2 linked regions of the Lonchura striata genome follow. The protein of the gene in region 2 purifies or fractionates together with the protein of the main gene of each other region. This does not show direct contact. Links are inferred from orthologs where the notes say so. Each region holds a gene or a part of one and is shown on either strand. Other genes may lie near its edges.

Region 1 (8,069 bases), on a different chromosome or scaffold from region 2:
TCCTTCTTCATTTGCCTCACTTCCTACAACCAAGTGCTACATTTTAGATTTCTGAGAGAGGTAGTAGCCATTTCACTGAGATGTCTGAGCCATGTTTATATAAAATGTTTTTATCAGGCTGTATTCCTGTTAACAGTGTTAGTATTTCATAGGAATACTTTTTATAAGCTTCTTGCTACATTATTACAAGCTGGGCAAGTGGCAGATATTACTGTTTGTATTGGGACAATGAGCTGTGTTTTATACAGTGATTTTTTAATATGAAGTATAAGCTTTAAAATGACAAAGGTTTAAGTCTAGATAGAAGGTTTATTAAATATGAGCAACTAGCACAATAAGGAGTTGCACAAAAAAATAAGTAGGGCAGGAAATTCTCAGTGAAGTGGATATAATTCAGGTACAGGAAGATTTATTTAAGCAATTCAGTCTTGGAAAAAAGAGGAAGCAAAAGCACAGAGGTATCACTGGCCTTGCCTTGCAGTCAGCTGCTGGTATGAAGAGGGTGCTACTCTAGTCATCTTACTGGAGATTCATGTGATTATGAGAAAAAGGTCAGGTAATGCATATTGTATCAAAAGTACCTCAGGATACTAAAGCAAAGGTTTCAGGCCCTCCCCAGCAGAACAAAAGCCAGGTGTTTGCCCCGCTGTGTGGTCAGTGAGTCTGAGCAGTGCTGCTCCCCTCAGCCTGGCAGCCAGAGCTTTCACAAAAGGTTGTGCACATCTACCAACCTATTCTTTACCTTGTAGGAGAGAACCCAGGGAACTGTATGGAAGGTAAATTCAGGCCAGTGGCTGCTGTGCTGTGATTTGGTGTTTAACACACATGGTTTAACACACTGCCTTGAAAATGAATGCCAGGCTGTACCAAGGCACTCTGCTACATTCTGGCCATGCGTTTTCTGCCTCCCTTCCCTCCTCACTTGCTTAGCACCACTGCAATCTTTAGGCTTTTGTCTAGGCTTTATCAGAACTTCAGAGCAATTTCACAATACCCAGCCATGCAGAACACCCTGGCAGGTCAGAAGGGGACTGTGAAGAAGACACAGCATGATTTTTGGAGGACCTTCCTGGCCAAGAGGGAACTGAAGAGAGGCGTTTCATTGCAGGACTCCATGGGCTGGGAACTGTCTCTCATTCCTCTGTGGAGTGCTGAAGTAGGGAAGGGACAGCAGGACAACAGGTATTAAGCTGTTGATACTGTGGAGAAAGATAAGCGGCAAAATTCCATTCAAGCAAACTAAAAATACTATGGATAGGGGTGGAAAAGCCCTTAAGAGAGGAAAGACAGTTTTCTGAGAGTGCAGTGCTGATAAGGTGCAACTGGACCAGAAACGGGGATTTTTCCTCTTTCTGGGTAGACAGGAGCTGCCAGGAGCTATGGAAAAGACCCTTGGGATGTCTCAAATCATCAGTACCATATAGGTGTGATAAAAGTGTAGTGTGGAGTAAGGGACCATTCAGAACAGACTGGAAAGGGAGAAGGTACTGCCAAGACCCTAGTGCAGCCCAGGGTGCAGCTCCAGGGTCCTCTCCTGGAAGGTGAATTTACAGAAGGGAGAAAGGGGAACAAGATCAGAAAATACAGACCACAAAAGGGCTGTGGTCATTCAGATGTTTGAGTCTATATGAGAATGTAAATACCAGAGAAACAGAGAAGTCAAATATTACACTAAACAATATTAAACTAAAAGTTATTACTACAGGAACAAACAGGTATAAACTATTTATATATGTTTTTAAATTGTAGATTAAAATGTCTTAGTCCTCAGCAAAGAGGAGCTGGACAGAGCCTTTCTGCCAGGCAGAGTGGGCTGAGATTCCTCGTGGGCCCCAGCCAGCGCTGGGTGCGAATGGGCTTGTGCAGGGCTTGGCTGGGATGCCAGGAGATCAAACAATGGCCTGCACGGTCCTGTTTCGGGCTTGTTTTGCAAGGAGGGACATGGTGCAAAAGGGATTTTTAGACTGTTAGGAATTGACTGGACATTAATTCAGTCTGCTGGGCAACCTGTGTCTTACACCCATGTCCCTTCTACACTCATGACAAAAGTTACTTAGAAACAGCCGGTGCCCCCATTGGATTCCCATGCTGCCAAGTGCTGGGTTTTACAAGGAATTGATGATTTTTTTTGGCTGCCGGCCATATCTGGATGAAATCTCCTTGTTTACTTTCTTCCTCACAATGAGCAACAGAAACACAAACGATCGCGGCCAGCCCCGAAATGTGTCCCTGAAGCGCCAGAGAAGGAGCAGCAAACAGCGCCCGGGGCGGGCCGGCGGGACTACAACTCCCAGCAGCCCCCGCGGCGCGCTGAGGGCGCTGGGCTTTCCCCGGCCCGGGGGCTCGGGGCCTTCGGTCCTTGTGGGAAGGAACGCGCGTTTTACACAGGGCTAGGCCCCTTCTACTCTGCACAATGCCACCTTATGGAGGGCCTTCCCTCAGTGGGACACCGCACAGGGCCTGTGTTACCTTCTCACTCAGCTTCCCCAATGCCTGTGTTTAACCGTGGTTTCTTTACTCGGGGCACTGGAATAAGGAGGGCTCAAAGGGCTTTATTTAGCCCTGAGGAGCTGAAATTCAGTACACTCTGCACAGCTAGCAGGGTGCTACGCTCTCCTCTGCCCCATGTGCTGTGCATTTTGCCTAATACTCTTTAACTGCCAGGGACGAAACAAAAGGACAGGTTTGCAGGAGGAAACTGGCATTTTTCAATACCCAGAAAACAGGTTCCCCTGGTGTCTGACACCTGTGCTGACCTTTGCGTGTTTCCTCTCTTGTGACAGCAGAAGTTAAGACACACACAGACAGACACTGGATCTACCAACCCTGGTCTCATTTAGTTCCCTCCATGGCTTGGAAACTTTTTTTTTTTTTTTTTTGGCCACAAGTGGGATGCAAATAGTTAAACAAAAGGCTAATTCACTTTTCTGCTTTATCTGCCTCCAGATGTAATTTCATTATAATTAAATTACCTTACCCCAGTAAATGAAAATAAAAGCCACAGATCATATTCTACACTGAATTTTTCCATAATCCGTTTCCTTAAAATTCCTCTTTGCTGTTCAAGGTCCTCTAGAAGGAATGCATGCATGGTGTGAGCCTCACTTTGAATACTCAAAGGATTAACTGAAGAACATGATGAAAGGGAGAGCATGAGTAAAATAGCTCGTTTATATTTGTATCCTCAAATGTCAGTTCATTACCAAAGTTAGAAACCAGCTGATGCAGAAAACTCATTATGGCTTCATTTAGAATGTTTATTTCTTTAGCGACAGAAAAGAATTGCCTTGCTTGGCTCACTTGTCCAACACAAATAGGCCATGTTTTACAGTACACTTTGGGATGGGAAGAAAAGAGGGTTTTGTTTAGGGCACAGTACACTTAATTTTTTATTTATTTTGTTTTCTGCATTTATTTAAATCCCAAAGCAGTGAGGACTGTTACTCCTCTCTGTTCTCAATGCTTCTGTCAGTATTTGAGTGCCATTACTTGCAAAGCTCCTGCAAACTCTGGTTATTTATCTAACAACACATAAGTAAGACAAAATGGAGTGGTTTGGGAAGTCGTGTCCACAGTCCTTTGCCCGAAAGTCCACTTTGCTGGTAATGTTAGTGCTTGTGACTGTGTCCAGCTAGCAGGTAGGTGACCTGCATCTCCATGCAGCCAGAGCACAGTAAACTTTATCTGGGAGTAAGATGGATGCAAGTGCCCGGGACAGCCCCAGGCACCAACTCTAGTGGCAAAGCAGGCTCTGTCTTTGCCAGCTGGGCACTCGTGCCAGAGCTCTGCAGAAATCAGGACAGAGTCATCAGTAGGTTCTGTGCAAATCCCCAGGTAATTTGTAATGTCCCACTTGCCTTGCAGCAAAAAGCAGGAGCATCATTTGAGTGGCTTGACTCAGAAGGAAATTTTTCAAGTAAAACATCCCACAAATTTGAAGTAACCCAGCCTGATAAGAATAATCAAAAAGTCACAGCATCTGAGTATATTTGAGATTTATAGCTGAGATTTCTGCTTATGTTTTGTCGACACATTTCTGGCTGTAACTTTTTCTGAGTGCATCAGCATGTTGTGCTTTTTCATTGGCCTCATGTCAGTGTCTGGGTTGCAGCTCTTTGTAGTTTTGCAGCTACAAAGCCCGTGTGTGGGGAAACAGGGTGTGTTGATAGTTCTTGCTTGATTTCCCTTGCACTGACACTGCATCTAGGTAATGCCTATACACCATTAGAAAACAGCAGTTACAAAAATACTGAAAATATTAAAAAAAAAAAACGTAAAAAGAAGTCTTGTTGCCAGAACAACTTGACAACTTTTGTATTAAATTCTGTGGGTGAGATTTAATTGCCAGTGGGACACTTGGTAATTTGTAAGCTCTTTGAGTTGATTCCTTCTTTCCTTGTGAAATAAAGTCTGGAGCTTAGACGAGTAAGACCTGCAGGCTCAGTGCCTCCCCAGTGCCGGCGGGGGCACAGTGGCGGTGACTCGGTTCCGCTGCCCTGGGTCACTCCTCTTTTCCATCACCCCGAGCCTGAAGTTGCAAGAGTTCTACAGAAAGCCAGGTGTCATTCTAGAAAGGAATTTTTGTAACTTTATCAATTTGCCAACATCTGGCGACTCCTACTTCCTACCTTGTATAAAATTTCCTCGGCTTGGTACTGGATCCTTCAACAACTAAGGATTTCTTTCCGTCACCTGTTACCCCGCTTGTTAGGAGGAGCAGAAATGTCCACAAGGAGGCCCCAAGAACCTCAAGTCACGAACCGAGCTCCGAGCGCTGCTCTCCGGCCCCGGCCCGGCGCTGCCCGCGGCTCCGCAGCAGGTAAGCGCCGCGGGGCGAGCCGCGAGCCGCTCGGCGGAGGGAGGAGGGGGAGCCGTGCCCCGCTCCGCGCCCGCCCCGCTGCCGTCCGCAGCGCCGGGGCCGCGGTGCCCTCCCGCGGGGCCCGCGGGCCCGCGTTGCGGCGCCTTTAACGCGGCGGCCATGACGCGGGCGGGCCGCGTGTGCGGGCGCGTCACGGGGCCGGGCGGGGCCGCTCCGGTGCCACTCGGAGCCGCCGCGGAGCGCCCGCTGCCGCCGGGGGGCGGGGGCCGCGGGCTCCGCCGCTCCGCAGCAGCCGGTAGCCATGCGCCGGCTTAGTTGCTCGTAGGTAGGTTTTTCTGCCTTGCTTCCCTCGCCCCCAGTCAGAACTGACAATGTGGTGCAGTGCGAGCGGGCTCGGGCTGCCCGTGAGATGCTGAACGCGTGTCACAGCCCCGGCGCCGCCGCGGGAAGCGGAGCCCCGGGAGCCCCCGCTGCCCGGGCCCGCGGGCTCCGCGGGAGGTGCCCGCCCGAGCCCGGGGCTCCGGGCCGTGCGCGGCCGCGGCGCGGGGCGTTCCGCAGGTAGGCTGGTGCGGGTGTCGTCTGCAGTCACCTCAGGTGAACCGAGAAGTGATTGCAGGGAATGCGTGGAGTTGTTTGGTCAGGAAGAAGCATCTTTTCGATCAGTTTGTTACTATGTTCTTGGTGCTCTACACGTTTCTGCGTGTATAATAAAAGATCTTTTTTTTTTTTTTTCTTTTTTCCCCACAGCAATATTAATTGCTATTCTCTATTTTTGCAAAGTTTTAGCTGAAGAGCATGATTTCCCTATTCTGTATCCCAGAGCTTTGAGACATTTCACTGGCATCCATTAATGCTACAGCAAGAACATCCCGTGTCTCCTTGGTCTGTTCTCTGGTGCTCTCTGAAATAGAAATGGCTTACTTGAGAACAGAACGGAAAGGCTTGGGTTATTTCTGCATGTTCTGTGGAGCGATGGAAAAAGGCTGTGTGGTGCGAGTACTCCAGTGTGCTGCAAGGAAGGAAATGAACTGGATTTTCTCCTGTGTCCTTCATGTGTTCCTTCCCTTTTTGGAGTTCAGTGTAGCATACCTGTAGAAGAAGCTGCTCTAGTGAAGGAAGGGAGGTCTTATAGACAACATACTGATTTAGGCCTCAGGAGTTTGGGGCGCAATTAGTAACTCTCCTTACCAGCTTTATTTGCACAATGAGCTTAAGTGAAATGTTAATCTGTATCCAAATCCACATTTGTAAAACAAGGCTATGGATTTCCAGACCTTTCCAAAGATCTCCCATTTGTTTGGATCTTCTGTATCACAGGATGACTGAAGGCCTATCAAGCTCTCTTGATACACAGCTATATATTGCGCGTCAGTCTCCATGTATATGAATACAATTTTAACACTTGTGAAAAGGATTAAATGTAGTATTACTTTCCTTGATTTTCAGGCAAGAATTATTTTTTGTGTTTGAAGCACAGATCAACTTTATTTTCTAATTCATTAGCTACTATCAGCTTTGCCAGGCTTCCAAGGAAACCAGTCTTTAATAGCACTGTTGCTCTCAAGTGTAACATGCATGTGTCCCTGTAGAATGCTTGTTACATTACACTGCACTGGTCATACTACCAGTTATTAAACACAGCTCTTTTTTTCCTCCCTATTGATCAGTTGCTGAAGTAAAACTTCTATCCTCTCCATGCTAACTGTTGACATGGAAAACAAGGAAAATGGCTCTCTGGATGTCAAAAAGTAAGTGTTTCTTTTATGTAAACAGCACATGGATTTTGAATGTAGTTTTCTTTTGAACTATAGTGGCCATCTCCATCTTTGCTCATTTCAAACCCTCCCTGTTCTTAATGACTTCTGTTATATTTCAGCTTTGAAATAGAAGAGTCCAGGGCACTGAGCTGATTAAAAGTGATATGTGGTAGGACTGTATAGCAATGAAGAGATGTAGAAGACAGTAAGTTAGGTAAACGTTTTATTCTTTTCCTCTCAACCAGAAGCTAAAGCAATATTGTGCCGCTGCTCACCTGTCTGTTAGTGGCTTCTGCAGCAGCAGTGCCTAATGAGAGAAGTGTCCTGTGTGGAAGTTACCTCTCTGTGCCCTTCTCTGCTGACCCTGTCTAGGGCTGAATAGTAGCAGCATATCACTTAGGTATCAGTTCCCTTCTGAAACAGATACTTTAAGCTGTTTATTGGAGAAGCCTGAAGTTGCTGGGGTTTTATTTCAAGACCTAGAGTAGGAGTAAGGCAGAGACATGGTGTGTGCTGCTCTACACCTTTCTTTTGTGTGGTAAACTACAGGCTAAGGCATAGGAAGTTTTTTGTAAGCATTTATTTAAGGTCAGAAATTCTTTAATTAAGACTAGCAATTCTGAATGACATTATGGTCTGAGAAGTGAAATTCTGTGTGGAAAAATCTGGTCTTGCTGCTTTAGGATTACAGAAGCCATGGTGAGAGAGATGTACACATAGGTATATATATATAAGGAAAAAAAAGACCATAAGGAAAGGTACTAGAGTAAGCTCTTAGTTCTGTCAAGCTGCAAGACTTTGTGCAGCTGCACATCATCTATTCTCAATCAGATCTCTCGTACATAAGCTGTCCAAGAGAATGTGACAATGCATAGGGTACCAGGCACTAGAGTAAGGTAAATAATGATGGTCACTTCAGGCTACTGATAAAACACCTGATTATGAAAAGCATCAAAGGATCTGATGGCAGCCATTAAAATCAGCATCCTCCCCTTCACTTTAAACACTGGCTACACCACACCAACATTAAGAGCATTTTCCTATTCAGTGACTATGAATAATTATTTTGTGTCCCTCAGAAACCACCTTCCCTTTGGCAGTCTGGTTTCTACAATGAGCATTTTGGGGTGGGAGGAGAAAGGAGACAATCAAAGCAGGGACAGTTTACATTTAATCATTTTCCCCAAAGCTTGGGTGATAAAGACTCAAGTACTGTTTGCTAAGGTGGCTTTTTAGAGGGGATTGAAATTGTATTTAAACTGTGGAGTTATAGTTTCTAGATGAATGTATATTGTATGTATGTGCGTGTATCTACAAAGGAAGTATTTGACACTTTCTTGAAGTGCTTATAAATAGGTTGGATAAAATCTGTTTGTTCTCAGCTATATCCTTTCAGACCTTGCTGCTTCTGCCACATGATGGCAATAAAGGCACAGGGACAGTGGTTAAAAACAGACAACTCTAATTCTTATTCAGTGTCAGTGCATCTAGTT
Region 2 (7,745 bases):
AAACTGAAAACGTAACTCCTGCTGCCTTTCGCTGTAAAGCTTTTACACTGCGCTGCTAGAGCACAGGTAATTAAAAGACATGGAAGAGGCCGTGACCCTCACGCCCCGGGGGAAGCTGCCGCATCTCCAGGGGCCTCGCAACGCGCGCACCGCTCCTCAAGCCGAAAAACCCCGGGGGCTCGAGCCGCGCTCCGGAACGGGACAAGCGGCACGGCCGCAGAGCGCGCCCCGCGCCGCTCCCGCGCAGGCCGTGCCCCGGCGGTCCCGGCAGCGCCCGCCCGGAGCCGCCCGCGCCGCTCCCCGCCCGGCGCGGCGGAGCGCGGCGGCGGCCGGAACGCTGCGGCGAGGCCCGGCGGGCGCGGCCGCCGCTCCCCGCGCCGGCAGCCCGCGGCCTACCAGCAGAGGTCCCTCCTTGGCCAGTTTTGCGGCGTGTTTTTGCTGCACTTGAAACTTTCTGGAGAAAACCCGGGCTCAGGTCCGCGTCTTCCCCAGGCTCGGGCAGAACCGCCGAGACAAAAGCGCCCGCCCCGCTCCTCGGGAGGAGCGCTCGGGGAAAGCGGTTCTCGAGTGTCTCCGTTTCCCTCCCGAATTTGCCTTTTTATCCTTCGCCCCCGCCCCGGGCAATTAAACCGAGCGGGGGAAGAGTGCCCCCCTGCCCCGGCGAGGGGGCGGCGGTGGGGGCGAGCGAGGTGCGGGCGGGGGTGGGAGAGGAACTGGGTGTTAAGTGTTCCTGAGGAAGTTGCACAACGAGAGAGGGACTCTGCTTGTTTACCGGGTCCCTCGCTTTTTTTTTTTTTCCTTCCCGCCCCCCCCCCCCTTTCGCCTCCACCCCCCGGGACCGGGATCCGGGAAAAGGAGGTTGCCTCCGAGTGAAAGGAAAAAAAATTTTAAAAAATGTTACCTTCTCCTCCCTCCTCCCCTCCCCCAGCGCGGAGGAAAAGGAGGAGGAGGAGGGGGGCGAGCTCTCTTTTTTCTAGGGGGCTGCGGGGACTCGCTACTCGGCCGCTCGCAGGCGATGTCCGGGCATCCCTCGGCAGAGAAGTCACCCCTTCCCGCGGGAGGGGCCGGCACACGCCGCCTCCCCGGAGGGCTCGCCCCCGCCCGGCCCCGCAGCCGCCAGCGCCCGGCCCCGCGCTGCAACTTTTTCTCTCACGCTCTCGCGTGCGCCCGCTCCGACGGGGAGGGGGGAAAACCAAGGGGGTGGGGAGCGAGCGCCGCTGCGGCCCCGACGCGGCGCCCCCCGCCCCGGGCGCTCTAGCCCCGGCAGCCTCTCCGAAGCCCCGGCCGGGGGCGGGCGGCCGCTCCGCGGGAGCGCCTTCCCGTCGGCCGCCGCTCCCTCCCCCCCTCCGAAAAAAAAAATCGCTTTCCGCCCCCCCCCCCCCCCCCACCGAAAAAACACCGCCCCACACGCGCTAGCGAGAACAAGTGTGCCTATATCCTGTTGTTATATGCACCGGCTGCGGAGACGGGGAGGGAGAGACGGGCGTGTGCGCGGGGGGCCGCTCCCCCACCCCGGCCGCACTTCAGGCGAGAGCGCGCAACTTAACAGAAAAGCCGCGTCCTATTCCTTGCCCCTGCCTGCCCCCCCCGCTCCCTGCCCCCGTCGTCGGCAAAATACGCACTCACGTGTATGTGCGCTCACTCACACCGCCGGCACCCCGGGGCCAGCCCCCGGCAGCCCCTCGAGGCCGGCCCGCGGAGCCGGCGGCGGTGACAGGCGCCGGCCCCCGCCGCCGCACGCAGCCCGAAGCGGGCAGGGGCCGTTCCCCCGCCGCCTCACATGTCTGCCGCAGCGAGCGCGGCGCACGCACCGCACAGAGGCAGGAACTGAGCACTCGAGCAAAAGACTTTTTTTTTCGTCTCTTAAAAAAAAAAAAAAATTGCTACAAGCTTGCCTTTTTTTTTTTTTTTTTTTTTGTATGTGTATGTGTGTGCAAACTTTCCCCAAAATGGCGGAAATTGGGAGATGGTTATATTTTAAATATCTCTCGCACACAATCACACAAAGTGCAGGAGCGACGGAAAATACAAACTCTCTGCTGCGCGCTGGTAGAGGCCTTCGCACACGGGGACCCACGGCACATTCAACCGGTATATCCCGGCAGCCGCCACCTCTCGCCGCTTCCGACCAAAAAACCCTTTTTCGCACCCCTCTCCGCTGCGCATTGCCCCCTCGCAGCCCGCACTTCTCCCCGTCCTTCAGCCTGTGCGAACAAAGAGCCGGGGCTGCGGAGGGGGGGCTCGGGTGGCAGCGAGCCCCCTCCCTCCGCTCCGCTCCCTCCCCGCCCGGCGCTCACATGCACACCCGTGCCCCCCCACCTTCTCCCCCCGCCGCCCGGCCGCGGCACCCGCATCACATTGTTCCCAACAGCACGGCGGTGCCCCGTAAGTGTCATTAAATGCAGCCAACTGACAAGCTCATTGGTGGGGCAAGTCTGCAAAATGTCTCTCCCCTTCCCTTCCCCCTCCCTTTGGAACCCACTCCCCCCCCCCCAAAAAAAAAAAGAAGGGCCCCCACAAACACATTTCCACAGCTCCCTCCCCCGTGTATATATATATGTACATACACATACGTGCGTGCGTGCCTGTGTATGTATATAAATATACAGCGCATATATATATACATGTACTCCCTTCATGTGTTTGGGAAGAGAAAAAGAAATACCAGGCACCTCTCTCTTTCTTTTGTTCCTCTTTCACACTCGTACACTTATGATTTAGTGAGATCCCCGGTGCCCCGGCCGCTCCCCAGCCACTTGCGAGTCACTTGCCCACTTTACCCGGCATTAACTTCCATCCTTTCTGCTCGAGGTGGTCGGGGAGAAGCCCCCCTCCCCTTCCCCAGATACGTTTCGTAAGGGAGGGAGAGGAGGTGCGTCTCTCCCTTTATCTCTCAGGCTCTCTCTAACTTTCATCCTCACCTAGGGGGAAAATTAAAACCCGTCACCAGCCTTTGCCATCGCGGCTCCCTAAACGGCTTGCGGATCAGATCGGAACCCGCCGCTCCTTACCCCCCCAAATTCTCTCTTTCTCCGTCTCTCGAGTAGTCCTGACAAATATGGTCCAGGGCTGCGGGCACAGTGAGCATGCGCCCGCGGAGCCAGGGCTGGGGAAAGGGGAAACTGCCGCCGCCGCCGCCGCCGCGGCTCCTCTTCCTCCCTCGCCTGCGCTGCCGCTGCGCCCCGGCCGCCCGCGGCCGGCACCCGGCAGCCGCCAGCGGCGGCGGGCATCGCCCTCGCCGAAAACGCGGCTGCCGACGAGGGCTCCGGCGGAGGTGCATCCTCCCCCTGATTTACTGCCGACGCTGGAGGAATAATAAGGAGACTTGTGCAGCAGTCGCGCGCTATTTTGGGCGCTTTCAAAAATAACGCCTTGCACTTTTCGGGGAGGGGGAGGTCCGGTCCTCGGGGGTCCTGCCAGGTCCTGCTAAGGTTGGGTGGTGGGCGCCGGGGAACCGGGGAAAGCCTGTCTGTGGCTCCTCTGCGCAGAACAGACCTGGGGCAGAGGCAGAACAGCTGGGCACCAGTAAGGAAAGAGCGGGTCCTGCGGGAGAGGGGCTGCCCTCCGCCGCGGCCGGCGAGGGCATCCTCGAGGAGATGGTCAGAAGCCAGGCAGCGCGGAGCCAGGCTCCTCCTGCGCTCCCGAAATATGGGGTGCCTGCGGTATGGACACATTCCTTGTGATGGGCCTCATCTGGTTTACAACCTAGCCAGCTCACCAAATAAAACTAGTCTCAGATGTGCCACCTTCTTGAATACTCTCCATCGGTGCCCTGTATTCCTAAAGACAAATAACATCTTCATTTATTTTCTGTCCCTCGTTCAGAAAACAGTGAAAACTGATGGCCCTTGTTGCTTCATGGGAATGCCCAGGATGAACTTCACCTGCAAGGATAACTGTTTGGAGAAGAACATTACACAGCACAGACCTGTATGAGGCCTAAGTGTACTGGGAAAGAGGGAGGATGGAGGATTGTGATCAGATGTAAATATGATACTTTTAAAACTGTATATACATCTATGTATGCAGTTTGAGGCAAAGTATAAAAGAACACAGAACACAATCTTCATTATACTAATCCTAAATTTTTTTTCAGACCACACAGCATCTCCCTAAAGTACTTCTGTCCTGAAGACAAAAACTGACAAAGTAAATTCTGAATTTTTGATAGTTTGGCATATTATTATATATCTCTTAAAATAACTCTCAAATCTCAATACATCTTTTGTTAATCCCAGTAGTGATCAATGACCATGCTTTGTCTTGCTTTTATATATGCTCCCTTCTAAAACTACACTTCCAACTTTGGCCAAAATTACTAGAACAGAAATAATGATAAATACTAATAGTCAGCCAGTAATAGGTATTAGCTGAATATCAATAGAAATAAATACAAATGACAAGACTAAGTACAACCTTTTTAGGTATTATGGATGCATACTGTATTACCCTCTGATCCCCATGATGGGGACAGCGTTGCACTGGACACAAGATAGAGATGCTCCATCTCTGATAAGACTTCCTAGCCTCAGCTTCTGCTCAGTAGAGAATTTACTTTCAGAACGTGTATTAAAATATTTAAGAACCGAGCTTGACAACTCCGCTCCCTTAAACTATGCCCATGTTCAAACAGTTCAGACAATCAGGCTTTTGCCCTACTATCTTGACAGTTTCTGTCTATTTAAATGATTTTTTTTCACAGCAGTAAAAAGGGGCTCATAATTAAGTATTTACAGAATTGGTGCCTAAGCAAAATACATTATAGTTGTTTTATTATGAGCAATGATGATAAAACACCCCTTCAGCTCAAATGGCATTGCATATAGGATGCAGTTTTCATCAATAAACATATGTTCATTAGAAATTAATTACAGAAAACAGTATTAACCTAATTGTAATAATTAGTGATAACATGTATTTTAACTCTTCTAAAACACAGATGCAAAAAATAGTGGATGAGAAAATTCTTACTTTCCACCAGTGAGCTCTTACTTGAGGAAATTTATGTGTTAGAAACAAAGAATAAACTGTAACAGAAGTCATTCAGCGCTTTTTTTAAAATTATTTCCCAATGTTCCCAATGTTCAATGTTGTTGAAATGTTTTAAGTCAAACAGTTGCCAAAGAACTAGATTATTCTATTGTAGCATTAAATTAGCTGGGCTCTGCAGAAGATACTCAAAGAATGGTGCAATTTGGTGTACTTTCAAACTCTTTAGGATGCTTGACCTGTACTGATTATTCTCCAGATGATATTGATGTTTTGGGGGATGGTATAACATACCCTGCTAAGAAGATACATTTCTAAGAGTACAACTGAACTAGTTATCTGCCATTATTTTATTTATGCTTGAAAGACTTTGTCCCTTTCCTCTGAAAATCTTAAAGGGAAACATATTCATATGTGTGACTATAAGAGGGTAGCCCCTTACAGAAAAAAAACCTCCATGAAGGATGTATATTGGAAGCTGTAACTGAAACCAAGGATTTGAAACAGCACATAGCTGCCTTATGAATCAAATTGATAACACTTTGATTAAAATAAAAGGACATATGAAATTAATAAAGGTACCTTCTGTTCTCTGTCTCTTCTTCGATCCTTGCCCTAATCATAGTGTGTCAGCTCATGATGTATAATAAACCCATTATTTTGTCAATAAAAATTTATTGGATAAAAATAGATTAAACATTATTCACATATGCTCTTTAAACATTAGTTCTGTTGCCATTTTATTTAATACTAGAATTCCATCTGCATTCCAAAGGCAGAGAATTTCAAACACTTGTTTTCTATATGTAAGTATGGCATTTAATATGATTTTGGCAGTATGTTTAATGACAGATTTTGGAGTAGCTAAATTTGATCTCTCTCTGAGTATTCTTGTAACTCGTTGAATAGGTGTTTGTGCTGTAGCCAAATACTGATTATTTTTATAAGGGCATGTGCATGAACATCCATCTACATGGCTTCCAAAATCCAAATCTTGAGTACCATTTAAGGGGATGAGAGTAAAGTAATGTACATTATCCATTCAGTTTGCATATTGGGTTTGTGTGATCTAATGGCTCCTCAGGAAGTATCTACATAAACCGAGAAAAAGAGAATCCATATTTACATTTTACCAAAAAATTTGACATTTCCAGGATCTTGATTTCTATGATTAACATGCCTTAAAGATGGCCTTATTAATCAAAAATAGCCTGTATGGGACTTTTTATCACACTTCTAATAACCTGTGCAGCTCATTGTGTGACCTTTCTCACCAGTGACGGTTATCAGTCTGTCATGTGATTCTTCCCCAACCTGGAGGACAGGAAAGAGGGTTTGAGGGCAATCACTGGGGAAAAAAAATATATTGTAATATTATGTAAAGCTCTAAGCCAGGAAAATGGAAGTCTTAAAGCTTTAAGAAGTTGAGAATGAAGAGAGAATGTATATGTGGTTATTTACCAATTGAAGCGAGCATATTGCAGTCCATGCTGAATCCTCTCAATAGTACTGTCTCCCTGTCCAGAGAATTTGATGTCCACACTGATGTCCACAACTTGACTTATTATCAATGGAATCAACTGTTTCTGCCACTCATCCTGGAATATTTATCAAAGTTGATACAAATGTCATGCTAAACTGGAGAGCCAGTAATACCTCCTAGTTTTCAGATCTGTGTGCCTGCCTGACTGGATCCTAACTCCCTACCACAGTGAGACTTGGGTAGGAAACAGCCTTTTTTTTTTTCTGGGAAGAACACTTGAGCATGAGTACTTGAAAGGAACTGCAGTATTTTCCAAAGACATTTCAGCCCAACCTGCTTTGGATGTAGGTGTAGTGCAACCTGGGAGAACTTGTTTCTGAAGCTATTGATGAAGCCTTTGAAAATTCCTGCTTTCACAAAGTTGCAAGACTACAGAGCTTTCCGGAGTTGGTCTTCATCCTAAAGAAATTCAAAGGCAGATAGGGAAGTTATGGGTTTGTCAGTTCAGGAATGAATCCAGAGCCATGTTACATATTAAGGGTTTGGGGAGCATTGGACCAGAATAATGAGTTGTAAAAACAGAAAAAGTAATTTGCAAGCATGAGTCCAATGAAAATTAGGAATATTGATGAGGACTCCTGAACCAGAAGAAGGCTGAAGTTAGAAGCTTGGACATGTGAGTTGGACATTAGAGGAGAGCTTGGAGCAATGGCAGATCTTAAATGAGTTGAAGGAAGCAAGGAGGAAGTGGCCCCAGAGACAAGAGGTATGAAGACACAACAGGGATGTGTGGTCTGGAATGGATGATAGGCCCAAAGAAATGGGTAAGAACAAAGGTCCTGAGGGAGAGGAAAGGAGGGGGTAGTAAGAAAAGAGACACACCACAGAGGAGGACAAGTGGTATGGAAAGGGGCAAAGTGTAAGTGGGTCAAGAAGAGAAAGGGGGAGGAGGAAGCCTGTGCTGGGCAAGGCTGGAAGTAACAGGAGATTTGCAGTCTTTAAAAATGGACTTTCCTAGATGTAGTTTTAAGGGATAATAATGAGTAATATCGTGGTTATGAGTGGGTAAGAGGGTAACCACCATGGCTTGTTTTGGCACAGAACTGTATTCATGCATGCTCTTTCCTAAGGTATGTGGGCACACTCTGCATATGAGGACCATTATCATTTCCCATAGTAGAAGACTTTGACTCCAACTGTGCATAAGATTATAACAGCCTTGCAGCAAAGCATTACTTTGGACAGTCTGTTCAGGCTGGATACTCCAGACCTG

What was found.
Region 1: the proteins of L3MBTL3 (region 2) and SAMD13 purify together in Homo sapiens (affinity purification with mass spectrometry; 3 studies listed by BioGRID and IntAct, counting the BioPlex papers as one, with this or other methods). This does not show direct contact. The link is inferred for Lonchura striata from reciprocal best matches to the Homo sapiens genes L3MBTL3 and SAMD13.

What each region holds. Positions count from the first base shown.
Region 1 is NC_134611.1:18,037,830-18,045,898, forward strand, and holds the start of SAMD13 (sterile alpha motif domain-containing protein 13), read left to right. Parts: upstream 1-5,040; 5' UTR 5,041-5,144; intron 5,145-6,486; 5' UTR 6,487-6,514; coding exon 6,515-6,567; intron 6,568-8,069.
Region 2 is NC_134605.1:60,466,907-60,474,651, forward strand, and holds the start of L3MBTL3 (lethal(3)malignant brain tumor-like protein 3), read right to left. Parts: upstream 3,089-7,745; coding exon 3,012-3,088; intron 2,807-3,011; exon of another isoform or gene 2,798-2,806; coding exon of another isoform or gene 2,781-2,797; intron 2,743-2,780; exon of another isoform or gene 2,673-2,742; intron 1,710-2,672; exon of another isoform or gene 1,627-1,709; intron 1-1,626. UniProt on the Homo sapiens protein: Is a negative regulator of Notch target genes expression, required for RBPJ-mediated transcriptional repression. It recruits KDM1A to Notch-responsive elements and promotes KDM1A-mediated H3K4me demethylation.